7 linked regions of the Oryzias latipes genome follow. The protein of the gene in region 6 purifies or fractionates together with the protein of the main gene of each other region. This does not show direct contact. Links are inferred from orthologs where the notes say so. Each region holds a gene or a part of one and is shown on either strand. Other genes may lie near its edges. The genes, in order: snrnp200, cwc15, snrnp70, u2af2, bcas2, prpf19 and eftud2.

The links.
Region 1: the proteins of prpf19 (region 6) and snrnp200 purify together in Homo sapiens (affinity purification with mass spectrometry; 3 studies listed by BioGRID and IntAct, counting the BioPlex papers as one, with this or other methods). This does not show direct contact. The link is inferred for Oryzias latipes from reciprocal best matches to the Homo sapiens genes PRPF19 and SNRNP200.
Region 2: the proteins of prpf19 (region 6) and cwc15 purify together in Homo sapiens (co-immunoprecipitation; 4 studies listed by BioGRID and IntAct, with this or other methods). This does not show direct contact. The link is inferred for Oryzias latipes from reciprocal best matches to the Homo sapiens genes PRPF19 and CWC15.
Region 3: the proteins of prpf19 (region 6) and snrnp70 fractionate together in Homo sapiens (co-fractionation; 3 studies listed by BioGRID, with this or other methods). This does not show direct contact. The link is inferred for Oryzias latipes from reciprocal best matches to the Homo sapiens genes PRPF19 and SNRNP70.
Region 4: the proteins of prpf19 (region 6) and u2af2 purify together in Homo sapiens (affinity purification with western blotting; 3 studies listed by BioGRID, with this or other methods). This does not show direct contact. The link is inferred for Oryzias latipes from reciprocal best matches to the Homo sapiens genes PRPF19 and U2AF2.
Region 5: the proteins of prpf19 (region 6) and bcas2 purify together in Homo sapiens (co-immunoprecipitation; 10 studies listed by BioGRID and IntAct, counting the BioPlex papers as one, with this or other methods). This does not show direct contact. The link is inferred for Oryzias latipes from reciprocal best matches to the Homo sapiens genes PRPF19 and BCAS2.
Region 7: the proteins of prpf19 (region 6) and eftud2 purify together in Homo sapiens (affinity purification with mass spectrometry; 3 studies listed by BioGRID and IntAct, with this or other methods). This does not show direct contact. The link is inferred for Oryzias latipes from reciprocal best matches to the Homo sapiens genes PRPF19 and EFTUD2.

The regions. Positions count from the first base shown.
Region 1 is NC_019867.2:18,372,789-18,376,361, forward strand, and holds part of snrnp200 (U5 small nuclear ribonucleoprotein 200 kDa helicase), read right to left. Parts: intron 3,563-3,573; coding exon 3,389-3,562; intron 3,297-3,388; coding exon 3,159-3,296; intron 3,070-3,158; coding exon 2,914-3,069; intron 2,812-2,913; coding exon 2,641-2,811; intron 2,570-2,640; coding exon 2,376-2,569; intron 2,299-2,375; coding exon 2,175-2,298; intron 2,066-2,174; coding exon 1,916-2,065; intron 1,828-1,915; coding exon 1,585-1,827; intron 1,487-1,584; coding exon 1,298-1,486; intron 1,216-1,297; coding exon 1,018-1,215; intron 910-1,017; coding exon 757-909; intron 661-756; coding exon 580-660; intron 415-579; coding exon 331-414; intron 1-330. UniProt on the Homo sapiens protein: Catalyzes the ATP-dependent unwinding of U4/U6 RNA duplices, an essential step in the assembly of a catalytically active spliceosome. Plays a role in pre-mRNA splicing as a core component of precatalytic, catalytic and postcatalytic spliceosomal complexes.
Region 2 is NC_019872.2:16,000,713-16,004,953, forward strand, and holds the start of cwc15 (spliceosome-associated protein CWC15 homolog), read right to left. Parts: upstream 2,853-4,241; 5' UTR 2,753-2,852; intron 2,397-2,752; exon of another isoform or gene 2,394-2,396; 5' UTR 2,387-2,393; coding exon 2,256-2,386; intron 1,453-2,255; coding exon 1,340-1,452; intron 1,232-1,339; coding exon 1,131-1,231; intron 270-1,130; coding exon 159-269; intron 1-158. UniProt on the Homo sapiens protein: Involved in pre-mRNA splicing as component of the spliceosome. Component of the PRP19-CDC5L complex that forms an integral part of the spliceosome and is required for activating pre-mRNA splicing.
Region 3 is NC_019866.2:24,780,020-24,784,163, reverse strand, and holds the start of snrnp70 (U1 small nuclear ribonucleoprotein 70 kDa), read right to left. Parts: upstream 2,868-4,144; 5' UTR 2,663-2,867; intron 2,303-2,662; 5' UTR 2,297-2,302; coding exon 2,150-2,296; intron 2,076-2,149; coding exon 2,013-2,075; intron 889-2,012; coding exon 834-888; intron 752-833; coding exon 687-751; intron 620-686; coding exon 557-619; intron 333-556; coding exon 251-332; intron 1-250. UniProt on the Homo sapiens protein: Component of the spliceosomal U1 snRNP, which is essential for recognition of the pre-mRNA 5' splice-site and the subsequent assembly of the spliceosome. SNRNP70 binds to the loop I region of U1-snRNA.
Region 4 is NC_019874.2:19,813,346-19,817,490, reverse strand, and holds the start of u2af2 (splicing factor U2AF 65 kDa subunit), read left to right. Parts: upstream 1-1,325; 5' UTR 1,326-1,900; coding exon 1,901-1,949; intron 1,950-2,739; coding exon 2,740-2,908; intron 2,909-3,304; coding exon 3,305-3,340; intron 3,341-3,560; coding exon 3,561-3,664; intron 3,665-4,145. UniProt on the Homo sapiens protein: Plays a role in pre-mRNA splicing and 3'-end processing. By recruiting PRPF19 and the PRP19C/Prp19 complex/NTC/Nineteen complex to the RNA polymerase II C-terminal domain (CTD), and thereby pre-mRNA, may couple transcription to splicing.
Region 5 is NC_019865.2:942,867-946,594, forward strand, and holds bcas2 (pre-mRNA-splicing factor SPF27), read right to left. Parts: upstream 2,484-3,728; 5' UTR 2,380-2,483; coding exon 2,287-2,379; intron 1,891-2,286; coding exon 1,798-1,890; intron 1,709-1,797; coding exon 1,638-1,708; intron 1,537-1,637; coding exon 1,375-1,536; intron 1,297-1,374; coding exon 1,246-1,296; intron 1,166-1,245; coding exon 1,085-1,165; intron 1,012-1,084; coding exon 885-1,011; 3' UTR 572-884; downstream 1-571. UniProt on the Homo sapiens protein: Required for pre-mRNA splicing as component of the activated spliceosome. Component of the PRP19-CDC5L complex that forms an integral part of the spliceosome and is required for activating pre-mRNA splicing.
Region 6 is NC_019868.2:15,898,565-15,902,706, forward strand, and holds the start of prpf19 (pre-mRNA-processing factor 19), read right to left. Parts: upstream 2,802-4,142; 5' UTR 2,638-2,801; coding exon 2,619-2,637; intron 2,402-2,618; coding exon 2,252-2,401; intron 1,346-2,251; coding exon 1,269-1,345; intron 1,005-1,268; coding exon 863-1,004; intron 747-862; coding exon 673-746; intron 571-672; coding exon 505-570; intron 403-504; coding exon 361-402; intron 271-360; coding exon 196-270; intron 108-195; coding exon 32-107; intron 1-31. Other genes in the region: uncharacterized protein LOC101174031, read right to left, coding at 3,499-3,714, 3,823-3,921, 4,002-4,103. UniProt on the Homo sapiens protein: Ubiquitin-protein ligase which is a core component of several complexes mainly involved pre-mRNA splicing and DNA repair. Required for pre-mRNA splicing as component of the spliceosome.
Region 7 is NC_019866.2:5,489,197-5,493,220, forward strand, and holds the start of eftud2 (116 kDa U5 small nuclear ribonucleoprotein component), read right to left. Parts: upstream 2,858-4,024; 5' UTR 2,704-2,857; intron 2,174-2,703; exon of another isoform or gene 2,153-2,173; 5' UTR 2,143-2,152; coding exon 2,038-2,142; intron 1,961-2,037; coding exon 1,798-1,960; intron 629-1,797; coding exon 550-628; intron 403-549; coding exon 327-402; intron 224-326; coding exon 158-223; intron 61-157; coding exon 25-60; intron 1-24. UniProt on the Homo sapiens protein: Required for pre-mRNA splicing as component of the spliceosome, including pre-catalytic, catalytic and post-catalytic spliceosomal complexes. Component of the U5 snRNP and the U4/U6-U5 tri-snRNP complex, a building block of the spliceosome.

The sequences.
Region 1 (3,573 bases), on a different chromosome or scaffold from region 6:
AGATCTTAAAAGAACTCGCCATTTCTTCTTTTATGGTCATATCCGGTATTTTACATAGTTCTGCGCATGTCAAAATGATTTATTATGATCAAAAGTGTGCCATATGTAAACAGTTATAATCGTGTACAGATTTCAATTCTAATCTGATCTTTGATTCGATTAAACGTTTTGCACACGTAACCACAGCCAATAACTTAATGGAACATTTTTAGCTTATAAATCATCGTTGTTTAAAAAAAAAAAAAAAACAACACCAACATTAAAAAGAAGACAAAAAGTATAAGAGGGCATGAAAAAGTCTGAAACGACAAAAGAAAAGTCTTGCAGCACCTGTGTAACATAAACCATGTCTGCCATGAGAGCAAAGCCTTCAAGTTTGAGTTGAGAGATGAATGCTTGCAGCAGGACGTTAATCTGAAACAATAAAGTGGAAAAGAATTATTTGAACTATTTTGAAATAAAATTACAAGTTGATAAAAACTCACAAACAAAAGATAAAATAAAATCTAAACTCTCTAAAAATGTATAAGAAATTCTGAAATGTTGCTCAAATTGAAAGAGGTTTGTCATGCGTGTTACCTTGGCACTGGGTTCCTCAATGCTCTCCTTCACTGGAATAGGAACTCTCTCCAGTAGCTTCTGAAGCTCCAGTTTTTCTTCCTAAAAGAAAACATTTCTGTAATTATCCCACATGTTGTAAATAACTTCTTGGAGGGCGGAAATTGAAGGAGGTCTGACTTTCATGAGTGGACATACCTCTCTCACATTGATGTTCTTAAACTCTGAGGAAAGTGAAAAGACTCTGAAGAGCTCAATCTCACTGAGAGTGGGTTTCAGGAGCTGGTTGTAGGTCTGAACTGAGTCATGAGTGATATAGAAGTGACTGGCAATGCGTCCCAGGTCTGTCACCTTTAAACATGCAACAAAAAATACCATTAGAGTCTTCTGGTCAGACTTTTACCAATTTATTTCCACCATAGAGGTGCTTAAAGGTTTGCTCAGCCCAGCTCTGGATACCTGGAAAGCGCCTGTCCTCTTGTCATATTTGACGAGGCTGTTCTTGTCCAGGACATTGGCTGCTGTGTGAATCAGGTCCATCCTGCGCCTCTCCAGAAGCGGGTCTGCACTTCGGTCATCCTGGGAAATTCCATAAAGGGTGGGGTTGCGGAGCATACGCACGTACAAGTAGGTGTAGCCGAGCCAGTTCACCGCATCCTGACACACGAAACAGTAAAACAAACCATTTAAAATGTTTTTTAAACGGTCTTTAATTTTCTGATGCAAGTCCACCACTCACCTTCACGGTCTGAACATTGCCTAGAACAATTTCTGCGTTTAGCATGTCTGGTAGTTTTGCCACCATCTGACTCTCAATAGGAAGCTGCTGGTTGAGCAGAGACAGATAGTACTGCAGTTCTCCGTGGGACGTGATCAGGATTCCCTCCCCTTTGGTGTCATACTGGGGACGACCAGCCCGACCAAGCATCTGAGAAAAAAAGGACATTCACTTCAGTTATTGTTGTTGGGGAGTTGTACAAACTCTGACAGAAATGGTCATCCATAAAAACTAAACCTCATACAGACCTGCAGAATATCCAAGGCTCCGAGCTCAGTCCATCTGCCTTTCTCCGGACTATAAACTTGGGTTCCTTTGATGATGACAGTATGGGCCGGCAAGTTGACGCCCCATGCCAGAGTGGCTGTAGACACCAGAACCTGAATGTGCCGATCTGAAAACAGATCCTCCACCAGGGTACGGTCCACTCTGGTCATACCAGCGTGGTGGATTGCAAAACCATACGGAAGCAAATCCTTCAACTCCAGGTTCTAAAAGAGAGAAGATAAATCAGCCACACCAATCCAACATTCGGGGAAAGAAAACAAAAAAGTGTGGAGCCTCAAGATACACTCTTACCTTGCATTGCTCGGCCTCAGTTCTCAACACTTCAGTGGATGCAGAGCCTTCTCTGAGAAAGAGACCCAGAGTGTCCTTCTCCAAGCACATGTCCCTTATGGCTCGGGCCGTCTTGCCCGTCTCCTTCCTGGAGTGAACGAATACAAGCACCTATTGGGAGCAAGTAAAACGTTAAAAGTGATAAATTGGAGCCAGGATTTAAAGGAATTTCAGATTAAAATGTTTGTCTCAATGACAAAAAACAAACAGAAAGGCGCACCTGGTTCTTCCCAGCATGCTCCATGATTTTTTCATAAACAATCTCGTTCATGATCTGGAAACGCTTGATGGCTTTCTTCTCTGTGATGCCAACATAAGTCTGCTCCAGGGGCACAGGGCGGAAACTACAAACAAAAATAAAAAAGCACAAGAATTGAGTTAAGAGAATACACACACATGCAGTTTCTGCTTTGAAACAAACCTGTTGTCAAAGTAGAACAGTCCCTTTGCAGGATCCACGCGCAGGCACGTTGCCACATCTTCGTAGTTGGGTAGTGTGGCACTGAGACCCAACAGGCGGACATCGTCTTGGGTCAGCTCCACATTGCGAATGGTCCTTGCGATCAGGGATTCCAGCACAGGACCACGGTCATCGTGCAGCAGGTGAATTTCATCCTATATCGAATTATTTTGGTTATTCTGATTGTCAAAAATGAAATGAATAATACCTTTCTAAATCAACTTACAATGATGATGAGGCGCACTAGCTGAGTGTAAGTACGTTCTCCCCCTTTCCGAGTAATGATATCCCACTTTTCTGGGGTGCAGACAATGATCTGAGTGGCGTTGATCTCCTCTTTACAGAGTTGGTGGTCTCCTGTCAGCTCAGACACGGTGATGCCGTAACTTGCCAATCGCTGCAAAAAAGGAAAGCCGTCACCTCTAAAACCCTCTCCTGAAGCTTGCGATACTCCTTGATGCATGAAATCAACGCTTTTAAGGAAGGGCATGCAGCTTACCTTACTAAAACTTCCCACCATCTCTTGTACAAGCGAGCGCATGGGTGCAATGTAGATGATTTTGAAATCGTCCACGTTGATCGTGCCGTCCATGTTTATATGCTTTCCAATTTCTCTTAACATTGCCATTAGGGCAACATTGGTCTTACCAGCTCCCTGTACACAAAACAATACCAGGATTAATGTTGACAACGGAGTTCAGGATGACTTTCCCGCCGCCTTTGGCTTGTGCAGGGCTCACTCACCGTGGGAGCACACACTAGAAGGTTTTCGTCTGTGTCCATTGCAGACTTGAACAGTTTACTCTGGATTCGATTTAGAGTTTTGAAACCTTCAAACCCAGCCTGAGCATACTTGGGCAACTTGTCGATGGAAACAAGTACCTGATGAAAGATAAGCAACCAAAATTTCAGACACTGCTGCGTTTAAAAGATGAAAGTTTTGTACTTAACAACAAAAGACGCAACAGACGAACCTCGTTGTCAGCGAAAGCTTTGGGTTTCAGGGCGGGAACGTGAACTTCTTCATAACCTTTGCGCTGTTTGCGAAAAGAGCCGTCTGGGAGCTGGCAGCGTTTGTTAGCCATGAAATGACTCCCCTGGGTGAAGGTCAGGTCTTCCAGGTCCAAAATCTGTCGAGGCATCACTGACTGCAGGAAAC
Region 2 (4,241 bases), on a different chromosome or scaffold from region 6:
AAATATGAGTTACGTAAAATGGAAACAGATTCTATTTCAAGGCTTTGTACATCAAGAATCATATTTTTCCTTGATTATTAAAACATTGTGTTTGAACAAAGTCATGCTGCTGACTGTAAACACAGAGGTACCAAAACAAAATGGATCAAATGTTTTACTTTGCGTTCTTGCTCTTCGGCTCGCTCCTTCTTTATCTTCTCAAGCTCAGCCAACAGAGCTGCAGTGTCGTCATCATCACTATCTTCATCAGAGTTCTCATCCTCGTCATCCTGTGAAGAGGAAGGATTTTAGAGAGGATTAAGGCTGCAATGGCCTCATGCAGCACAACTATGGCAGAATGGTGACAGCCCCCATGCACTGCTGACGTTCTTTTCCACTGTTTAATGACTTTTAAATAAGTTGACATTTTCAGACGTATTCTCAATAAAAGACATTTACAAGAGAGTACATCAGTCTTTATTTGTAGTGTGCACACTTGGACACTTTTAAGTCAGCTACAGTTATCAGTTTAACTAATGCCACCTTGTTGGAGGTACCAGTGCTGGATGTGTTGCTGGTAGCTGTAGATGTGGATGAGGTTCAGCTTCAGGAGCTGTACTGTGGGACCGACCATAAGAGGCAATGCAGGGAGTTTAGCCTTTAAATACACCAGCCTGGCATTTGGAGAGCCCCAGTCTGCTCAATTTTTCCAGAGGAGGAACAACGGTCATATTTAAATCAAGTTTGTTTGCCACACTTTTTAAATTTTGTGTACATTTTTTTTCTTGAATGAAAAAACTAAGTTTTAAGTTTACCCACAATTGTTCTTTTAGGTGGTCTGATCAGCTAAAATTAACCACAAATGAACCATCTGGGATGTTTCAAGTTTAATGTGTCCAAAGCAGAGAAGTTGTACAAAAGAAATTGTTTGTTAAAAGTCAACTTTACAGTGATTTTTCCCCAATTAAGTCAATCCAGGCATTTTATTGCTAATTTTAATATTTACAGTCTTTAAAGAGAAAGTTTTATAGCACTAAAATATCAATATCTATTCAGATCATGTCAAGTGCAACAGCGAGAAAAGGTCTCATCTCCCAGCCGTAGGTGTACTGATGAAATGTTTTCTTTATTATATCAGTGCAGACACTTACATCAGTGAGAGGGTCATCAGCATCAAGGTTAGCAGCTGGAATCTGATCCAACCTGGGCCTCTTTGATGATGATGAAGATGATGAAGAGGATGTAGTGTGTTCTGGAGAGAAAAAAATGTAAAGACTGCATTTACAGAAAAATACATACTTTGCTTGGTTTATACTTGTGTGTCAAAAACAGTAAGTCTAAAATTTTGATAGAGACTAACCTCTTGGTCCCCTCTCTCTGGTCTTCTCACGTGCTGCTACACGCTCCTTCTCCTCCAGTTCCCTACGGAAATCACGGGCACGCACCTCCTCGGGGGCATCCTGAGTGGGCTGTCTAAGGGATCATAGCATTTTCAAGACTAAGTCCCACTACAAACTCCAAAAACCACTCATGAGATAAATAGTAACATGTACAGTTGGGGGAAAAAGTATTTCTCAGTAACATATTTAGCAAATTGTCTAATTTAAAAAGATGAGAGGTCTATGATTCCATCATATACACTACAACTGTGAGAGATTGAATGCATATTAAAAAAAAATATATAGCGAAAATTGTAAAAATATTTTTTGTAGAACTTGCACAATTGGTAAATGCAAACCACCCCTCCTACACACTGTAGCTACAATTTAAACATAACCTGCAGCAAACAAACCATCAAGAATTATCAATACTAAATGATGTACTCCAAATGTACAAAAGCTTTATGGTTATACAATTTAGTTGATAACCATTTTAATACTGAGCAATGACTTATTAGATGCAAGATATTTGTGAGCAAATTATTTAACATTTTCTTAAGGGTCATGGAGAGACACTAAATAGACAAGAAAATGCACACATGCCCCCCCCCCCCCCCATGTCATAAACTGATTCATGTGATGCTCCAACGTGAGGTTAGCTTAATTGTACCCAACACATTATACATGTAGACATTTAATCAAGTGTAGATTTATGTTCCACTTTTTAATAATTATAGCACAAAAAGACTAATTTAATCAATCCGGTTTGACCATTTCCCAAATAATTCAGATTGAATCTTCGAGAATCTTAACATGATTAAATATGTTTCTTTCAAACAATCGCTTTCTTTTTCAACTGAGCTGTCGCAGCAGAGTTTAATAGGAACTAAAAACCACCTGTATTTGATCTTGGTGTGACCTGGAAGATCTCGGCTGGAATATTGCTTGGACAAGGCACTCAGATCGCCTTCTCCTTTTCCTCTCCCTCCTCTCGCCGGCTCAAACGTTGGTCTTGCTGCGGTAGTCATCCCTAACCTGCTTCAACAACAACACGGTATTTGTCAAACATGAGTACAGTTATTTTCAGTTAGCTACTGTACTTTAAACGCAGAACAAACAAGGTAACATCAGTTGTATATAACAAAACATATACATACATTTATCGATTAAACAGACTTTAATACTTATAAAGGGTATTACTAGCCACCAAATTTGATTATGCTAACACTCAGACAAGACAAAAAACTCATTTTGGGCTCTTTAGAAAACTTATTTGTTTTAAGATTCACTGCACACTAATCAAACGAGATGTATGGCTACATTTATCATATTTATACCGTTTTAACAAAAAAACATCTGTAAAAAAACGTCTTTGACTTGGAAAAAATACTCACGATTCCACTACACGGCTAGCGGAAAGAGGATACCATAGAACGTCACTTCCGGATTGAAATTGCTGTTGCGCATGCGTCAAGAATACGATTCTGTTGGTGCGTTTAAAAAGAATTGGAAAATGCATTACTCATTTCAAATGTAATCTGATATTTATCGTAAAGAAATTACTATATTGTACCAAAGGAGAAAGAATTAGCACAAAAATGCTTTGTTACACCTTTCTTTTTCAAAATGCTGTGGTGATATTCCAGGGTACATGGTTGAATTCTAAAGCATTACAGCCAAAAATGTCTATTACTGATTTCAGCAAACCAACACTCACATTTAAAATGAAAAACATATAAAACCTTTGAGCACTGGTGTAAACAAGGAAGTGTTTACGAGGAGTCATCTTGTCTCTTCTTTTGAAGTAACCGGTAGAATTACTGTAGAAATGTGCGATTAGGGTTTGCAAAACATTTTACGTGGCCACCATGGGGCAATGTGCATCAGGTTCAGTGTCTTCCTGTAGCTTAATTTCTCCACTCAAAGTGAACATTAACATCACAACATGATTTTTAAATATAGTTTATTCCAAATTGAACACATTATTTTTAACTTTATTTAACAGTCTTGATACGTAGATTCTATTAAACATAATTGAAACACTTGTAACAGATGTAAAATTCCTGTCTTTTTCCATTTTAGACCTGATGAGTCTTCATCCTTAGGTTTTGAGATGTTCTTCTCAGATAATATGCCTTCCTCTTTAAAAGGATGTTTCTCTGGATTTGTGCCGTTGGACTCTTTGCTGCCTTTGGCTTTAACTTCAACTACAGAAACACTGGTTTATATTTGTTCAGTGTTTGCTGTTTAAGTTTGATGAGTTTATTTTATTCTTTTCCAAAGATATATCAATACATAATTGTGAAAATACAAATCTAAAACACCTCTTAGGCTCAAAAATACACTCTTAAATGAAAGGGAGAAGAGAGAACATGATTTGCCCCTTTTCCCCTTAATACTGAACAATATTTGGATTGCACCAAACTTGTCCCTCCCCTCCAATGTTTTAAGAAATGTCTGAGAAATGACAAAAGTATTAATCAATTTATAAATAATTTAATGAAAATCAGGCATAACTCTGGAATTTTTGTACAATAATTAACTAGTGAAATGACTGGACAAAGTATTGGTAACTTAAACTTCATATTTTGTTTTCTGTGCCTTTCAATTAGAATTCTGCACCTGTTTGCAGACATTTTACCAACTTTTTGTTAAAAAAAAAAAGCTTCATTTTTAGTGTGTTTGGAATGATTGCTATGCTGGAAGAGCCAGCTATGTTCTGACCTCAGCATGCTTACTCTAACAAATGCAAGAGGTGTTCATACCAGAGTTCCATTTGGATCTAATGACATTCTCCCAATACTCTTCTGGATCAATCAGATGATCTCTGGCAAACTTAAGACGGCCTGGACCCGTGTTCGTTTAAGCGGGGGGATCTTTACC
Region 3 (4,144 bases), on a different chromosome or scaffold from region 6:
CCACCCCGACGCCTCCAATAAATGACTCCTCCCCCCTTTAAACGCAACTGTTAGTCCACCGGCGACACATCGAGCAGACCCCCCCCCCCACACACACACACACACACGTCAGACGAGCAGCAGACATGGATCTGGTGAGCAGAGCTCAGTTTGCTGGTCTCCTTACAGAAGCATCAGTGACGAGCAGTGCTCTGATCCACACACACCAACACAGACTGGCTTTGGTGGCCGATGCCTCAGCCGTACTCACAGTGCATGTCTCGCTCGTGCTCATACTCTATGAAGGCGTAGCCGCGGGGCTTCCCTGTTCCCTTGTTGTAGACGATGTAAATCTGAAAAGAAAAACTCCTGGTGAGACTCGGCAGAGCGGAGGCAGCAGACATGCAGTCAGCGCACGACGACACGCACAAAGCGGCGCCAAAACGCTTCACGCACGGCTCTTTACTTTTTTTTATAGTATTTTGAAGAGCCAGGAGAATTTTCTCACATTGTAAAGACAAAAGGGTTCATGTTTTGAAGAAAATCTGGACACAGAAAAATAATAATCAATAGCTACCCGTTTAATGGGGCCATAGACTTCAAACTCACGGCGAAGTTTGGACTCTGTCGTATCATAATTCTGAAACAAAAAGGTTTTAATTACCAGATGTGAACAAGGAGTGAGAAGAACCAAGACAAATACTCACCACTCGTGCCACAAACAGAGTCTTGAAGGCATCCCCCTGAGCATTGGGGTCATTATGGGGGTCCCCTGACATGGAACAAACAGGAAGGATGAGCACAAAGCTTTTCACCGTTTGAGGAGAACGGCGTGAAGAAAGTGACAAACTCACAGAGCTTCAGTTCTGTCTCCACTTCTCCCTGTCGCCTCTCAATCTTCTCTCTCCTCTGGAAACAGAAAAGAAAATGGTGACGGCCAACCGCAGAGCCTCCAACAGCAGAGCATCAGCACAGAGCTGACATAATCCCGCACTTGGTTTCTTGTCTGCTGCCAGCATGCACCTGTGCTGGGCTCCTGCCTGGTATAATATTTCTATAGACTTGAGAGGTTTTCACCGAGGCAGAAAATGCTGAATGAAGGAGTTAGGACTGTAATTCAACTACCCCTCCTTTGAGAATCTGCATTCATTAGGTCTGTGCTTCACAGCCAAACTCCTGCTTCAGTCAATTCACAAGTTCACAAATAAATTTCCTTTATGGCTCAAGACGCTCAACTGAAACGTTACAACCCCAACATAACATTATCTGTGCAACAAAAATGGCGAGCGATAAAGGAGCTATCCAGGCGTTGAGTTTCTCAAACAACAATACTAACAAATGCAATTTTAATCCTAATTTTCTGTATACATGCCTTCCATCGTTATCTACGCAGCACAATCAGAGATCCAAACAGTAACGACTGGTGGACGCTGCAGCACAGACAGGATCAGGTTAGAGGTTTATATAGTAAAGAGATGGTTGAGTGTGCCATGAGAAATTACTCAATTTCACCTATTTGTTCTAAAAAAAAAAACATTTTCCATCGCCAGAATATTAGCTCTACGTTCATCGAAATACGCCCAGGTTTCAGTTGGGAGTACTACAGATCACAGAAGACTTTTACTTCCTATTTAAGACACTTTGATTAAAAAAAATGTCTGCACCACTACTGTGCAGCAACTTAGGCCAATGGCTCTTATTTTGGAAAAAGTTTGTAAAACACCCCCAGTTCCTCACCCTGACAAAATACCAGCTAACAATGGTGGAAGTGTAGCTTCAAGCAGGATCCGGTGTCAGACCGTGTAAAAAGTGCATCCAATAATGAAGCCCGGAGATTTGCATCAGTGTCACAGAGTTTACTACATCTCCCATGATTCATTGGGTTGATGTGACAGAATCTGTGCTACTGCCAGCTGCCATAAAGCAAAACAAACGCAAATATGAAATCTTCTGGATGAAAGCAGAGATAAACCGTTTATTTATCCATCAGGTTCTGTATTTGAGCACATGTGCAAAGGGGGGAGGAAACTCACCTTTCTCTCCAGGCGTTCCTCGCGGGTCTCGGCTCTGGTTGGTGGGGGGGCATCTCTAGGATCCTGGTGGGAAACAGTAGGAAGGTGAGACAGAGGCATCGGGGGGACGGAGGCTCGCACGTGACAGCGACGCTCACCTCGAAGTGTCTGATGAAGGGGGCGATGCCGCTGTACGGCTGGTTGTGATGCTTCTCGTGGGGCAGCTTCTCCAGCTGAGGCAGGAACGGAATCGGGTCCCGGGGGGCGAACAGGGCCAACAGGTTCGGCGGGAGGAACTGCGTCATCTTTCACTTGATCGATAAGGAAAACATGCATGATATCAGACACGGATCTGCCGCAACACAATGAAGCAGCGAAACTAGCTGTCAGGGCAGCTAGCTAGCTAGCTAGCTAGCCGTAATACCCGTACTAGCTAGCTAGCTTCACGCGCTTATTGTTCACTTCCCCACAGGACGGGGGACGCGTTCAACGCATTTCATGCATCCAGAAGTAGAACATCAGGAACCCCCTCCCACAGTAGTACACGTTATGGTCTGCGTACAAGTTAAGAGTTTGGCCGTCCGGAGGCAGCCGGAGGCGTCTGCTCCGCTCGTGGGATGTAGCGCTCCCGTTAGCATGGAGCTAACCACTAACTGCGCCCTTACACTCACCTTCTCTCCTCCAGAGTCCAGCAGCTTTTAGTTCATGGACCTGAAGGAGGAGCGGGACTGTCCGCGGGTTCGGTGGCTCAACGTAGAACCGCCAAAAAGAGACTCCGTGAAGATAAAAATGCTGGAAATGGAGCTGAAAACAACGTGGAGATAGCTGGCTGCGTACTGCGGCTGCTCGGCCTGTTGAAAATATAAAATGGCGGGGGGGACCGCCGCGTGAACGTACGTCTTTTGACGTAACTTACGTGATGACGTCAGGACGCCGTCCAATGAGTTTATTATTGACAATGTGATTTCCATGTGATTTTTCCCATTTTGCTCTGAATTTTATTGAAATAAATATAAGTTTCCTTTGACATTGTTAAAAGTTTATTTTTTTGTTAAAAAAATAAATAACTTGTTAAGTGAGAATCACTATGGGTTTGGTTCTAATAGGTCTACAGGTTTTGCTACAATGAAAGTAGTTGAAGAAATTTCAACAGCAATTGACAAAAAGAAAAATACATTAAAAGTTATCATTGATTTAAAGAAGGAATTTGACACCATAGATCATTCTATCTCGATTTCTAAACTGCATGCGTATGGGGTTAGAGCAATCGCCCACCAGTTATTTACAAAACAGACAATACAGTATGTGCAGTTTGGAGGTAATAAGTCTGATCTCATGAATATTATTTGTGGACTTCCACAAGGTTCAATTATAAATGTTTGGGGTATTTCTAAGTTGTTGCAGTTTGTTTTATTTGGACATGAAGACAAATTTCTCTGTTCAGGGATAATCTAAAACCCTAACTTAAAAGTGTTAAAAAGGAAATGAAACTTAAAATGTGGTTTGATTATAATTAACAAAAACAAAGTTTATGGTATTTGGTAATAAAGAAAAAACAGAAGTGGCTTTATCCATTGACAACATAAATATAGAGCAGGTGTCTGAATTTAAATTTTAGGGGTTATGTTGGATGACAAATGAACATGGAAATCTCATATTTTATGTAAAAAATAAAGTAACCAAGACCCTTTTTGTTTTGAACAAATCCAAGTATATTTTACCATGTCAGAGTGTGCATGTGTTATATTGCTCTTTGGTTTTACCGTACTTTACATTTTGTATTGAAGTGTGGGGGAACACAGATTAAACTAATATAATACCCTTAATTTTATTACAAAAGAGTCTCTGCTTCAGCTGGTCCCAGACCTGCTCTATGGGGTTCAGGTCAAGGGTCATTGCTGGTCAGACCATATGAGCCTAGAGACTGGTTGTGATCATTCTGGCAGCATGTGGTGGAGCGTTATCATCCAAAACTGCAAAACTCTCACACAAAATAACTCAATAGGAGTGAGATTATATGAATTTGCTTTTTCCAACTCCTTTTTTTCCTAGCACTAAATCACTTTCTACTTGACTATTTAGTTAATAATCACTATATTTAAATGTGTCTTAAGTGTGTCTTTGTTTCTGTTTGTTTGTTTGTTTGAATCTAT
Region 4 (4,145 bases), on a different chromosome or scaffold from region 6:
TTGTGCAGAATTTTCTGTCACTCTGCATCCCATATAAGACAGTGATACCAGGCGGCAGCACGCCGTTCACAACAAAAAAAAAAGGCAGAAAAGTTGTTTTCCTTGCGTTTCCTTCAATAATGAAGTTTAGGTGTTTGCCTTGGAGGGAGCTACTGCTGATATTTTTTGATGAGAAGTTGGCAATAGACACATCGTCACCTGTATGTAAAAAGACAACAAAATAGGAATTGCAAAGCACTGACAGCTTATTATTTGACATTTATGAAATGTTGTTGGTAAAGGAGTGAATACGTTTAATTTACTATAACGCCAAAACGACCAACTGCCATCACAGCAGACAACACTCACACAGGATGGCAGCAAAAAATGATCAATCCATCATTACAGTTCAATGTGACGAAACACTTTGAATTATGCAAAGACATGTGACCATACAGCGTGGCAGAATGTTCTAAAAATGTTCCCTTTGGATTATTTTGATGTGGAAAAACATTAGTGGGATGAACTTTATGAAAATAAAATGTGAATGGATTTTCCATTAATTCTTGTTTACTTGTTTGTTTGTTTTTACACTTGATTATCTTGCAAGAAATAGAAGGAATCTGGAAAACTTCACCTGCACCGTTCAGTCTCCAGGTGTTTATCTCTAAGTATCACTGGTTGAATTTTTGGCTAAAGATGTCCTCGATCGAGTTTAGGCCAGTGAATCGGATCAACTCAGATCATTCAAAATGAACCAATATTAACTATGAATCATATCAGCAAACATGAATTATGATATGAATAAACACCATGAATCGTTACATCCCTACTAGAAAGACGAACTCTAAGAAATTAATATTTTGCATAACAGGGCCTGATAGAGCTCATCTAAACATGATCTGTCCTGCCTGTCTGTGTGTAAAAAATGGGCTATTGCTTGATGAACCGTAAATCATTCAAAGTATACAGCAGGATGCTGACAATTCTTCTGAATCTATCCGCAGTGCTTAGGGCTGAGTTTTGTGTTGATCTTTCTTAAGGATCTATCACTAAAATCCAGTTTGTAGTTGTTTAATTAAATTGTGTAAATGACCGTTGATTGAAACACAAAAGCTTTAAGCATAACATTTAAAATCTACAGTAAGTTTTGGATATTTAACTATATTAACATGTATTTTTAACTGAAACACGTCGTTTTTAAGTTCATACATTTAGAAATATTCTCCCAATAACCATTACAGAGAAAGTCACATGCAGGTGTTCTGTTGTTTTAATCAGAATTCAATCACAGAATTGTCTCCATGCAGCTCCAAACACAAGCCAGAACCACACGACGTTCTTCTACCGGAAACGCAGCGTTCATCAACTTCCGATGTCACGGGGTATCTGGGAGTCGGAGCAAAAAAGCGGGCACAACAAAATCTTTGCTGTTTTTGTAGACTTAAAACAGCAGAAGGCGTAAAGATTTGGATTATTGCGTCACATAAACACATATTGTGGGCCTGTGACTAAGCTGGATTCGCTTTGGGCTTCGAAAATAGTCTCATTTATTCGGATTTCGTAGCCTAGCTAGCAGCTGAGCCTCCTCGGCGGTGTGGAGCAGCAGGCCTTTCTTCTGGACTTTGCTACAAGCTAGTTAGCTGGCGTTAGCGGGCTAACTTAAGCGAGCACGTTTTTCCTTTTTCCGTATTTGTATGTGTTACATTTGAGCAAATACCACGTCACTAATGTGTGTGATACCACCTATCGTTTGATAGGTTTGTTTTTGAGCCGTGTTTTTGCTAACCGAGGTTAACTTTCCGAAGCGCTATCATTGAAGCGCTTGAATCTCAAAGTGCTCACTTTCTTGCTAGCTTAAGCTAGCCTCCGCCAACCGAACAACGCAGTCTTCGAAAGCGTAGTAGGTTTCTATCCAGAGATGTCGGATTTCGACGAATTTGAAAGACAACTGTCTGAGAACCATCAAGGTAAATGGACTAGTTACACAATTAACAATGATTGCAAAAGAGGTACATGTCATTTTTATCTCTATGGTTAGCACGTCGCGGACGTGTCTGTTTAACTGGCCTATGATCAAATAGCCTCTAAATGTACAACGCAGCTTTACAAGTTTATCGATGTTTTCCTGTAATCTGGCTTTCGGTACTGTTGTATAATGCTATTAACATTAAAATGTTTTCAATTTTGTATTATCTTGAACTCCATCGTGGTATTATTATGGCATGTCCGATTCATGTGGCGTGTAATAATATTTAAGCGGTGCTTTCTGTCATTGAATTATCATTCAGCCGCTCGTGCTCGATAGTTCCTTTTTACAAGTTCAACTGTTTATCTTTATACATTCTCTACTGCAGTTTTTGCAATAGTCCTTTCAGTTTCATATTGTGTTTATGCTACTGATACAAATTCTTGCTTCTTTAATATAGCTGGTTTCCTGTACTCTCCTCTTTTATCTTCCTTTTTTTCCCACCTATCTGCAGATGCATCGTCTTGTAGCATGATTAACATAAAAATGTACTTTTAAGAGAAATAACCTCATTTATGCACATTTTCCTTCTACTTGATTACTACTTGATTTATCTTTTCACTTTGTGTTCATACCTGTAAGACCATTTATGAAAATTAAAATTAAACATCGAGAACATGTCTAAATTCAGCTCGCTTTAATTTGCTTTTATGAACAATATTTCTGGGGTTATGTTTTTTAAGAAGATTTTTGTTTTAATGAAAAACACTTTATACTTTTATACTTCATAGTTACTGAGCACCGCTCTTTTGCCACAGAAAGGGACAAAGAAAACCGGCACCATCGTCGTTCTTCATCCCGCAGCCGCAGCAGAGAGAGGAAGAAGAGGAGCAGGGATGGCGGGGAAAGACGCAGCAGGGACCGCCGTGGGGACAGTAAGGAGCGGAGACACCGGCGCAAGTCAGTACATCTACACCAATCCTCCTGTTTAAAAACAAGCTGTTATGTGTAAAATCTCTTATCAACTGTCCAGCAATAACATGGCAACGTTAAGTCTCTTTATTAACTTTATTGTAATGTCTGCAGTCTACATGCATCATTACATTGTTCACACAAATGCACCAGTTATGTATGTTTGTTCTGATGAGCTTTTGATTTCATTTGATTTATTCGTTTTTTTTTCCCTACTTCTTTTGAAATTAGAAGAGAATTCTCACTTGTTTGTTTTGAAGTGCATTGATATTCAAGTGTGACTGGAAATGCAGTGTTTTTTATTTTATTTATGAATCATAACTCAAAAAGTTTGTTTGATTCATATAAGAAATCTAAATCTCTTCCTCCAATTTGTCATTTCAGCTCGCCACCCGCCTACCCTCAAGAAAATACTGCAAGGTAACAGAAAACTTAACACAAAGCTGGCAGTTGCAGAAACTGTACATTGACACTCCTATCACTTTAAAGACAATTTACACATGTTCAAGTAATTTGTTTTTGGGTATTGTCCATTTTTCTGTCTTTTTTGTCACTTTTACTATGTTGAAATCGATGCAACCTTCTTTAAAAAAAAGTTCATTTTCTCCTAATGTTTATTTTTTTTTCTTCCCTCTTACAGCCGATCTCCCCATCGTGAAAAGAAGAAGAAGATCAAGAAGTATTGGGATGTTCCTCCTCCTGGTTTTGAGCATATCACTCCCATGCAGTACAAAGCCATGCAAGGTAACTCTTATCTGTTTCCAGTGTATTTAATTCACAAATGTGTACACATAACATGCTAAAGGCCTGTTCACACCGGGACGAATTTCGCCGGCGATTTTCGCCGACGTTTAACGCCTCGTGACTAAACAAAGGGCACGAAAAAACGTGCACGCGTTAAAGCGTAAAAAAAAAAACGCCTCGGGTTCGTTTTTTTTTCGACGCGACGCGTCGCGTCGAAATCTACTCGACCAATGAGAATGGCACTTTTGCTCACGTGTCTGGAGCTTCTGAAGTTACAGTAAAACACAACTTGGGGGCGCTCAAACACAAAACTGCCTTGCTGAGCACACATACCAGCGAAGAAGATAGACGCCAAGTAGCGTCTACACAGCCGCGAAGCAATAATGACGGACATTCTAAAATATCCCCGAACCAAGCACCAGTTGGAGCTACTGGTGCTTGAAATATTCATGTTTTCTTTGTTTGATTCTGACAAGCGTGT
Region 5 (3,728 bases), on a different chromosome or scaffold from region 6:
CCTCCCATGAGGATCTGTCCTCCAGCACTGTATCCTCTGTTCTCCATTGCCTGAGACATTCACTGAGGACACTGTCAGTTGGGGCCTTGAGCTTGATGTGTATATATATATATATATATATATACACTAATTAATTTCAGGATAAAAGCACCTCCATTGCAGCTTTACTTCCATTGTGAGTTAATGTTTTGTGAGTTTTTGGGTTGTGAGTTAATGTGTTGTGTGGTAAGTTAATGTGTTGTGAGTTAATGTGTTGTGACCTTTCTGTGCCACTGACCAACAACAAAGATGAAGACTCATCCAGGAAGTCATGGAAGACGCTGAGACTTTTGAAAATGGATCAGCACAAAATGCTGCAGATTTCTGAGATCAAAGTTCAGTGGATGTACAGAAGACAGGGGATCTGACACAAAACCGCCTCACTCTAGGCCTCAGACTTTAGGTTTCACTGTTCTTCAAGAGGGATGAATGACAAACCATCCAGCTGCTCCCATCTGTTAGCTTCCAGCTCATCAGCTGCAGCTCTGAAGCTCAGAGACTTACAGGTAAAAGACTGAAAAAAATAACAATGTGTATGAAACGTTCATTTTATTAAAACGATAAAAAACAAAAGTTGAATCAAAAACAGGATTTTTTTTCTCCACCACAACTTAGAAACTGTACAACAAGCTACAAAGACATCGATCATGTCGATCGATCATGAGTTTCAAACCATGATTTGTGTGTAACTGAACACAAAAGACCCAACGGTTCCATCAGAGGAAACCGACGCCTTTCAAACATCATCCGTCTTGGAGTCGAGTGACCCGCTACGCTCCAGCAGTCATCGAGTCGTCCAAACCAACCGAATCAGATCCATCCAACGGATCCCGGTGAGGTGACTCCTAAAAGTCCTGTCGGATGTTCTCCTTGTTCTCCTCCCCTTGCTGCTGCCTCAGCTGAGCCACCTCGTTCTCCAGCTGGACGATGGCGCGCTCGATCTCATAGTTTTTACTGACCAGCGACACCCAGCTGGCGGGAATCAGAACCAGAGTCAGACATCACCCCTCATCCACGAGAACACCAGAACTTAAGAAGAACCTACTTGGACTCCAGCTCTCGCAGCTTGGCGCCTGCAGCCAACTGATCGTTTTTGCGCTGCCAGTTCAGGTCCTGGATCTTCTTCCTGCCGGCATAAGTTCAGAAATGTGTAACCATGGTAACCGTTGGATCTTTTCAGGCATGTATGATCCAATCCTCAATCACCTGAACTTGTGGAGTTCCTTTTGAGCCAGCTCAATCAGGAAGGCCAGATTGCTGAAAAGGGACAACATTAGCTTTGAGTCTTCAGAAGAGTCAGACACCAAAGGGTGAGACCCACAGGCCGCCACTCACTCGTTGTAGACCTTCCACGCGTTTGTTCCATAATGCGACATGAGCTCCAGGTTCTCGATCCGGATGGCCTGGTGCTCCAGCTGGGCCATGGAGTTATTGACACACTCCTGCCAGGCGGTAATGTCGTTCTTCTGTCCCGATGTGGGGGCTGGAAGCTCATACCTCCACAGCAGAATAGAATCGTTCTATGGAATCACCCTAAACTTTCTCTTTCTTTTACATTTACAGAAATATTGTACAGACAGACAGAGTGTGTTTTTTACCTCTTCATGCTGAGGAGGTCCATTGGTTGTCGAGCGGCTAATCGCTCAAACTCATTCCTCATGATTTCTGTCTGAAACCCAAAACAAAACGGGAAAGGATTATAAACCGGTTAGCCAACCCAGACTAGGAATCAAGTTTCAAATGTCTGCAGGTTTTCACCTCAAACGGCGAGAACTCCGGCATGGGCAGGTAGCTCAGGTAGTTCTTAGTTGGGCGATACCTTCTGGTCTCTTCTTCCACCAACGCAGCGGCCTGAAGGGCCAAGTACAAATGATTTCTCTCCATTTTTCATACAAACATGATTTAAAAATGAGCCACAACCCCTGATGATCTAACATGTCAACTTAGTGTCACCAAACCCTGGTTCTCCAGATCTGCCGGCTGTTTCAAACCCCTCAGCTGTTGTTTTACCCGATGAGGTAAACAGCAGCTTTGGCTTTGAAGGTTTTCATCCTAAATTATGAACTTGTATAGTTTCAAAGCAGAAACCTATAATGACAAGATCTAAAGAAATATACAGGCGATCATAATAATAATGGTTTGGCCAACTATACATTGAACGGCGCGTTACCATGCGGCATCGCTAGCTAACAGTTCTAACTAGCTATAAGTTAGCTAGCTTTTAAAGCAGCATTCTTGTTTACCCACCGCTTCTCTGACACCTGGTGCGTCATAACCTTGATCAAAATACGGCAACGCATCAACAAACACTTCGCCAGCGACCGAGGCCGTTCCAGCCATGTTCGCTCCCCAGTAAAAAAAAATAAAAATAAAGAAAGAAAGTCCTTTTCTGCTAACAGACTCCAAACGGCTAATCAGAAACTTCCGTTTCCGGTCAAAACTTTCCGAAATAAAAGTCTCAACGGTGTTGTATTAATCGTGATTGTCGCCTCTTGCGTTGAGGAATGGAACTGCAGCTTAGTAGATAGATAGACAACTTTATTTATCCATTTGGGAGGTTCCCGCATGGAAATTGACATCTCCATCGCATACAGCACTGGTTGACATACATATAGGAAAAAGGAAAAAGCAGCACAGTGACTAGAAAAATGAGGAAGATTAGAACAGTAAAAAACAATTTAAATATCTGCAAACAGTATATACAAAAAAAAAAAAGTGATTCAGGCCCTTTCCCTTTCCTTTCTGTCCCCCTCCCCCCTCCTAAGTGGTTTGATGGCCCGGGGGTGGTAAAGAGTTTGATGGCCCGGGGGACAAAGGAGTTCCTCAGTCTATTAGTCCCGCACCTTGGGAGGAGCAGCCTCTTGCTGAAGGTGCTTCTCTGGCTACCGATAGTCATGTGCAGAGGGTGGCTGGTATTGTCCAGGATACCTGTCAGTTTTTTCAGTGTCCTTCTCTCTGCCACAGTAGCCAGACGGTCCAGCCTTGTGCCAACCACAGAACCAGCCCGCCTGATCAGCTTCTCCAGCCTGGAGAAGTCTGTCTTTGAGGTGCTCCCCCCCCAGCACACCACAGCGTAGGTTATTACACTGGCGACCACAGACTGATAGAAGATCCCCAGGAGCTTCTTGCAGATGTGTAGTGTAACAAACTTCAGGTTTCAGCTATTACTGCACTACAGTAAACCTTTAAAGAGTTTCATATTAAATTTCAACAAATAAATGCTTTTTTTATCTTTCTTTTGTTGTTGTTCTAAAAAAATATATAAATAGCTTTTTCTTCTGATACAAATGTGATCAATCTTGTAAAAATACTTCATCATCACTTCAATATTTTTTTTTAAATAATGTATATAAAATTATAAGTTTACGTTGAAGGCATTTCATCTTAACAATACAGAAATAATAACCAAGAGTAAATAGCCAAGAAAGGGGAAGTACTGGTATGTGTATGCATTATAGTATGTAGGGCCGCACAATATGAGGAAAACTCGCTATATGCGATATTAGTGATCAATATTGCGATGAAGATATAACTTGCAAAAAATGAACAAATAGCAAAAACAACAAAAACATTTCCATTTCCCTTCAAATGTTTAGTATAAATAAGAGTCAAAATACCTTAAATTTATCTTCCAAATGACCCTCGTCTAATTAGTAGGGCAACATCTAACGTAAGAGCTCCATCCGATT
Region 6 (4,142 bases):
CTAAATCAACATTAAAATAATGACACTTTACCTGTGAGCACTTTGTTGGTGTCAGAGGGACACACATCCAGAGCCAGAATACCAGGCACACTGGCACTATGCAGACCCTACAGGAAATATCAAAGTCACACCACAAATATGAAGCAATCCAAACAAAAAGTTACATCCTCTGGATTCTCCAGAATCTCTTCTTACAGCGTGGGAAGCAACTTGGCGGTACTTGCTGAGATCTTCAGCTCTGACCAAATCCTCTGGAACAGTTTTTCCTCTCTGTAGATAAAAAAAAAACACAGGGTGAACTGGGCGCTACCAAGACAGATAAAGACTCCACAAACTGTTAGGTTGTAGTCAATACTGCACCTTCTTTCTCTCTGTGGTGAGGATGGTCGCCTTGTCTTGAAGCTGCAAACACACAACAACAGTCAAATAGACCAAAGGAACAAAATCTTTCTACAAACAAACTTTACAAAGTAGAATGGTTTTTAAAACTAAAGAAAGCCGTACCTTCTGAATGATCTCTGGGGTCATTCCCACCTGTTCACTGATCTCCATGGGTTCTCCACCAGCACCCTGAAACACAATATTGACAGTTATTAGACAGATGAGTTATGAAAGTCAATACAAAGCCTTTTTTTTAAAGGAAAATAATTCAATAAATAAATCAAATTTTACTGCAGCAGCTGGCTGAGAGGCAGGGACTGCTTGAGGGGCCACCAGTCCAGCTTGGGGTTTAAGTGTAGCAAGAGCTGGAAAAAAAGACAAACAAATGAGCCAATTAGACAACCCCAATTATGAATAAACAAAACACACTCTTCATTCAAAATCACTTTGTAAGATAGCATTTGACGCAAACTTCACTGACCTTCTCTTGCAGCAGTGACCTCTTTGTTGAGGCGGGCGATGACTCTGCAGGCGGCATCGTGCTGGTAAAGGGCATGAGAGAGTTCTTGGCGAGTCGTCTGCAGCTGCTGCCTCAAGGTGAAACTATGAAGCATCACAGCATCCTAATTCACAAAAGAAAATGGGTCAGGTTACTTTTACCAGAGAATCTCTCAAAATCCACTTCGGGTCGTTTTGAAAAGCGGATTCCAGAAGGAACCCATCACATCAAACGCAGATCATGACGTTTTGTTTGACCAAAACACATTCTTCATTAAATAATGACAATTCCACTGACAAGATATGATCCCATTCTGCCACAATTGTAAAAATGAACTGTTATTCATATTTTAATGACTAAAAACATTGTATACGTTGATGCTACTTACCCACTCGTCTTGAAGTGACTTGAGAATGGCAGGAATGCTAGTAGCAGATGGAGCCTTTGGTCGAATAGGATGAGTAACTACAAAGAAATTAAAGCAGACATTTTCTAAAGCCGTATAGAATCACTGTATCCACATTAGGTTTTCTTATCATGCAAAATCAACTTTTTGAGCTTTAAGTGAATCATAATGTTAAGCCCTCAAGAAAAACGACCCCAAAGCCATATTTTGATCCATTGACGAAGCTCTGAGCATTCCTCTAAACCCAGACCCCCCAAACCACCTTTTATATGCACAATACATCCATCTTTACAAGTTTGGATTTTGTTTGTTTTTGTGGGCGAAACGCAGACACACTGGCGAGGCCAGCTCTAAGTTAACAAAATGAAATGGGCGGCAACCACAAGGAAGGAGCGAAAGCCAGTGCCTCAGAGATCGAAAGTCTTACCTCCAGGTAGGAAAAGGAGCTGAAATAACTAATATTTCATAAATAATTTGTTCTTTAGTGTTCCAAAGGTAATATATGTCATTTATATGGATATAGTTTACTCTGAAATGCTTAAGAAAAGCATGATTATAGGCCCACTAATTAAGTGTTGCAAATATACTACAACAATATTTTTAGGTTAGGCGTGTGTGTCAGTGTATTAGTTTTTGTTTTTTTACTATAGATATTTAATAAATATGTTATTATGACCTTCTCTATTTTTTAAAAACAACAAAAAAGTACTTTTCCCCCCCACACCATTTGTTACTGCTGTTTTTTGATCAACTTTCTGGCATTTTTTTTTAAATACTTTGTGAAAAATTGTTTTTCCAATAGTTTTGGTTTCATAAATTCGTTGTTTCTTTGCTTAATTTTCTTATATATTTATTTAAATTTTGTAAATTGACGTGCTTTAGAGATGCAATATGTTATGAATGATATTTGCTTTTTAAGACGAAGGTCTTGAACCTGCGCCATTATAGGCTGATGTGTCGTTTACCTTTGATATCCACAAGCTGCTCCTCGGACAGGGGCTGTCCGTTCATCGGGTCCGTCCCATTCTCAGCGATGTACTTCTCTATCAGTCTGCGCTCGAACACATGGTTGGACACCGGAGAGATGCACGGGTGCTCTGGAACCTCGTTGCAGACTGAAATAAAGGTGTGGCAACCGCTTGAAAGACTATTCTAAATCAGTAAATTCTTTTTTAAAAAGTAAATAAAAGCAACAAACATAAAATGAACGGAAGCAATTCCATATAAAAGGCGGCATTGATGGCCGCTAACTGCTACATTAGCTAGTTACTAGTAGCATTTGCGTGGCGCCTCGCTAAACACACACATTTCAAAGGTTTTCACTTAGCTTACTTGCACAAACCAGAGACATGTTCCCAACGCTGTGTAAATAGTCTCCTCTGGAAAGTAATATATGCTTACTCCAACCTTGTGTTTCGCTAGTGTGCACCGATAATGACTGAATTGAAACTAAGAAAAGCTATGCCCTTTCATAGCCTCAATAAAATGAGCCAGCTTCTTCTTCTTCGTGAAATGTCTGCTAAACGCAATTCGAACGTTGTCTCCACACTGCCCCCTAGTGCTTAAAATGAACAATGCGTTGGATTACTGTGTCTAGCAGGAAACTAGTAATCTGAAACTAAAAATTGGATTACGTGTGTTTAGATAAAACGGATTTATTGTTTACCACGTGTTTATTTTAAATTTTTGTTATAGAAATATTTTATGTTTTGTTCATGAAGTTCAAAGGTTAGCAGACCAAATGGAAAAGCACATTTCACAGCACTTTACAGTTGCATTGAGTTGAAAGGAATGACACCTGCAACAAATACTACACTGTTACAGATAAGATCATAACTAATTCAATAATTGTTGTTTGGGTTATAAATGTATTAACACTGTGGAAGAATGTTTAAGTGAGTATGAAATATATATATTTAGTGTCAATACTCTATGCAGCTCTAGAAATAATACAACACTTGCAAACAGGGTGACACTCAGTAAACACAGTGCAGATAACAGTGGCCCTGAGGGTCTGGAGGTAGGTAACAGCAAGAGATCTTAAGAGTACAATCCACCACTGCAACATGAGACAGAAAATGCAATGCTAAATTCATGCATCCAAAGATTATGTTTACCAAAATATTTTGAACTGTAACTTGCATTGAGTAATGTCCTTCACTGTTATTTGTTCATTCTATAATGTCCTTCTTTTCTCATTTTGGCACCTGTTTTATAAAAAGTCCAGTTTCTCTGACGTGTAAACGCTGCAGGATTCAGAGGTGTCTGTGTCCAGTGGCAATGTTGAAAAGAACTCTGAGCTCCACCTTTTTTCATCTCCATCCTTCTTAATCTGGTACTGAGCGCAGTCCTCAGAGGAGTGGAGGCAGTCTGTTGCTCCAGGCACAGGAAAGGAAATCTTCTCTTCATTCTCATTCACTTTGTTCTCCTAGAGGGAATTCAGGGGGTGGGGGGTGGGGGGGGGGGGCACATGGGTAGTTTTTATTTCTTTTGATTTTATGTCAACATGAGCCAAAAAAGGCTGACAGAGTTTTACCTCAGTGCTTCTGTCATGCCTGGGCGAGACCCCAGCTGTCCGTTGCTGTACTTGCTGGTTTTCAGAACTTGGTTCCCCTATCGTGACAGGAGTGTAATCCTAGAAATGAAACCCACATGTTCAAACACTCAGTTCTATTCAGCTGTTTAGGCTTCTGTGATTCCGTTCATTGGTCTTACAGTGTGAGCAGGGCTCGCTCTTGGGCTCCACTTTCTTGGTGTTCCAGGATGCTCAGGGTAACTGTAATAAGCTGCAGGGTGTGGATGGGTGTGACTGTAGTCCTGCAGTGACAAACAATAATTCAGCACAAAGTTACACTA
Region 7 (4,024 bases), on a different chromosome or scaffold from region 6:
ATATATTTCCATTTCATAACTCACCTCTTGCTCTGTAAAGAGGATGTCTGTGTACCGGAGCTTAAAACATAGAAAATCACGTTAACCTCAAACCATTCAAGTCGCAATTCAGTAGAATCATTTTCACATTTTTTTGTAAAATAAAGGAAAAACGTACATCTACATCATCCCTCTTCCGGATTTCTGGGTGTGTCTGCTCAATCAGACAATCTACAAAACAAGTCTAAAAGGAAGAAATGGGTTTGTTAGATTTCTCTGAGGCAAACACAAAATGTAAACTCACAGAGTTTAAAGTCAGAAGCCTCTGTGAGGCAGCGCGGTCTAACCTTGCCATGATGAAGGTGACCACAGAGTGTGACATTTCGGATCAGCTCGGGACCATCCATTAGATCTGCAAGAAATCTGCAAAAATGGGGAGGAAAGAGAAAATATCTTTAAGTACAACAAATATAAACTATCATGAAGACAAAAAAGAGAGAAAAAATATGCAACGTCTTTAACTTAGCAGGAACATTAGGAATCCATTGAGATTCTTCAGAAGAAACTCACTCCATGTCGTAAACTGTTGCAGGCAGCTCCTGTTCCATCAGAGCAAAACGCCTGTGCTTCACCGGCTTGATGATGGGCTCTAGAAAGAACAAAAAGACAAAAATGTTCTTGTGTTAAAGAGTTGCAATAAAATGCAGAGCTCCTGTTTTCCAGCTATGAAGAAGTAGTTTCAGACTTGATCAGAATCAGATGTTGCATACCAATCAGGGATCGGATATTTAACCATTATTTTGATTAGCACTATATATTTTAAGCTTATTATTTCAACTAAATGCTCTTCTAGAAGTCTGCATATCACGAAAGGATCACAACGTTTTGTTGCCGTGAAACACAGCAAAATACAACAAAGGTTTGAGTAGGAGGTGCACAAAGACAGTTCGTTAAGTTAGCAAAATATTCACAGATTTGGAGTTTGAGCTCAATGACTTTTAATAAACGTTTAAAACTGAGAGCTAATGTCTCTATTGGTTCACAGAACCATGACAAACAACTACCTGCAAGGGCGTTTAAAAATATTGGGGATTTTTTAAATGTGCCCTTTAATGAGAATTCAACGGAGAGACGACTGCTAAGGGAGCGTCTCCAAAGTGCAAGCTGCAGGAGAAGGTGATCAACAAAACAACAAAAACTCCATAATCTGTCAAAAACAACCAAAACGAAATGACTGTTACGTGGGTATGGATCATGAATACACATCATTATTTTAATGCTGAAATAATGATTTTGGAAGAAAGCCGTTCCTCATTTTTAGGATATTTTAATGGATATGAATCGCATCAGATCAAAAATGTTCATCTGCTCGGAAGCAGATGCTGAATCTACGGTCCCCAAACTTAATCATTTAACCAATTATTACCTATTTTTAATAATAAACAGTTAACTATTTTTTAACTTATTATTTAGTTATTTTTTTCTAGTTGATATTTGCATTTTTTTGCTTGATTGTTCAAGCTACTTCACAAAACTGCTCTATTCAAGTGTTACTACAAAAAAATTGGGGGCAACCGGGATTTGTTTATTATTATTATTTTATTTTTTATGTTATACAAAACTATTTGATCAGCAGATTCTCAAAATAAAAAGACTCAGAATCAGAACAGGGTCAAACAAATAACCTTATCTGAACATCCCTAGGAAAAATGTCAGCTATAAAGAAATATTAGGAGTTGATGATTTGACACAATTTGTGAATAGAGCCCAAAGTTTTTTATTACTATCCCTGAGCTGAAAGTCAAAGGTTCACTTTACCTGTTAAGGGTTGTGTGTCTTCCTCTTGGACAATAGTTTCCACCTCTGGCCCATAAACCTCTTCTGCAGTCGGATAATACTTCTTATCCTCATGGAGGACCACCTCCATGCCTGGGGTATCATCCTCAGCATCTGCAGGCTCATCTTCATCATCATCATCACGCTGTAGAAGCAGATGCACAAATGAATGCTCAGGAAACCTATACATTTCACAAAACTAAGAGGGAAAGCCAAAGAAACCTCATCTAGATCTCTGTCCTCTGCCTCCACGTCATCTTCATCATCATCAGAATCCAGCTCTGGACCGATGTAGTTCCCAAACTCGTCATACAGATCAGCCTCCATCTTCAAATATCTAAACAATTACAAAGAAACACTAAAACATGTATGTAACAACAACAAAATGGGTTAAAAGTTTTGAAAGCAATAGGAAACCCTAATTTGTCAGACTAGTTAGTACGTAGCAGTGATCGTAGCGTTTTAAAGCTTGAAAACTCTCAATGGGTAATTAAAAAAATAGAACGTATCTTTTTAAAGGTTTAACATCTCCAACTGTATTTCAAATATTTGCAAAATACGTTTATTTTTTATTTTCACTTAAAAATAAAAAAATAAAAACATTATGAACCGGTTGTGGCCACAACAGCTAATGCTAATAAGACCGCAATTTGAACATTTAAGCGACTCCTGCATTTAGATTATGAAAAAAGTCAATCAATTGATGAAAAGTTTCGGATTTTATCGTCTTTGCGAAAGTTTATTGAGCTTTCTCGATCCACGCAACAAAAAACAAGTAACCAAACTAGCTAGCTAGCGTACAAATGAATGGATCAACGTCTGAGATACGTCACACCGTAGACAAAGACATAATTTGCTGAGACCACACATAAAGCTGACTGCACTTACCTTTATTTAAGGATAAAACTACTGCAAAATATTTATACAGCACAAAATAAAACCCTGTTCTGAAATTAGGATAAATTATTGTTCGGTTAGCGCCATGCGCATGACAAACTACTGCCGCTTTTCTTCTTCTACTAACACGTCACAACACTTGAGGATCGCGTACGCCCCCTAGCGTATGGATGTTTTCAAGCGCCAAACCAACAGATCCAATCAATCAAACCTACTCCTTTTGTAACTTTACTAGTGTTATAATATGCCGCTGATAATGCAGAAATCTGAGAATGTAAAACGCAAACATGCTTTGAAAATGTAGATGTTGCACTTGCAGCCACTGTGTGCAACAAGGAACTTGTGTTTGGTTGAATATTTTTTAACACTCCTTGGTAATGAATTCTTGAGTGCTGAGCCTTTTATTAGCCCTTTAATCTTTGCCAGATTTGAAATAATTTAAAATATAAATTCCTTGGAGTTATTATTGATGGCAAACTAAGCTGGAAAGCACGTGTTAGATATGTAACTCATGTGACATATTTGTAACTTATTTTAGCATATTTTTATTACTGGATTGAAGTATGAAAAACAGGAATTCAAATTATTTACAAAGCTAGCTTGATCACAAATACAATGTATTAGGCCTTTAGGCTATAGTCAAAAGAACTCAAACTTTGTGATTTGGCAGAATACACTGCAGCTCAAATATGTCCAATGTTCAAAGCAGAAAAAGAATTAATAACAAAAATGATACAAAATATTGCAAACAGGTCAAAAATTACACATTATTCATATACCATTGGCTGCATGTGTGACGGGTAAATCACCCCTCCAGCAGTCTACTGAGTCTAGGTCTCATGCTCAGGTCTCGCGGAAGGCAGATCGTGTGAGGGGGCCGGATGCGTCTCTGGAGAAGCGATTGTCCCTTCTTGCAGATCTCCCTATGCGGGGAGATTCAATGAACTGCGGATTTGCATGTTCTTTGCGTGGTTTATTCATACTTCTTCCATGGTTTTAACGTGGTTCCTTCGTGATACATCTGTGAAAGTCTTCTGCAGAGACTACAACTTTTAGTGGCAAAGACCACAACTTGTCTTACTTTTTCCACGTATATTCACACATGACATATAAAAACTGGTCTTATGTGAATAAACATGGAAAAAGTAAGAGAAGATGTGATTCTTTGTGAGAAAATTTCACAGCTCTATCATGATTTTCACCTTTGGACAATGTGCAAATTGTACTTAGCGGCAGTGGGACACAACCTTAAGCCAAACAACATTCAATTGCTACTACGATTGTCTCTTATCTGACACTTTGGTCACTTCCA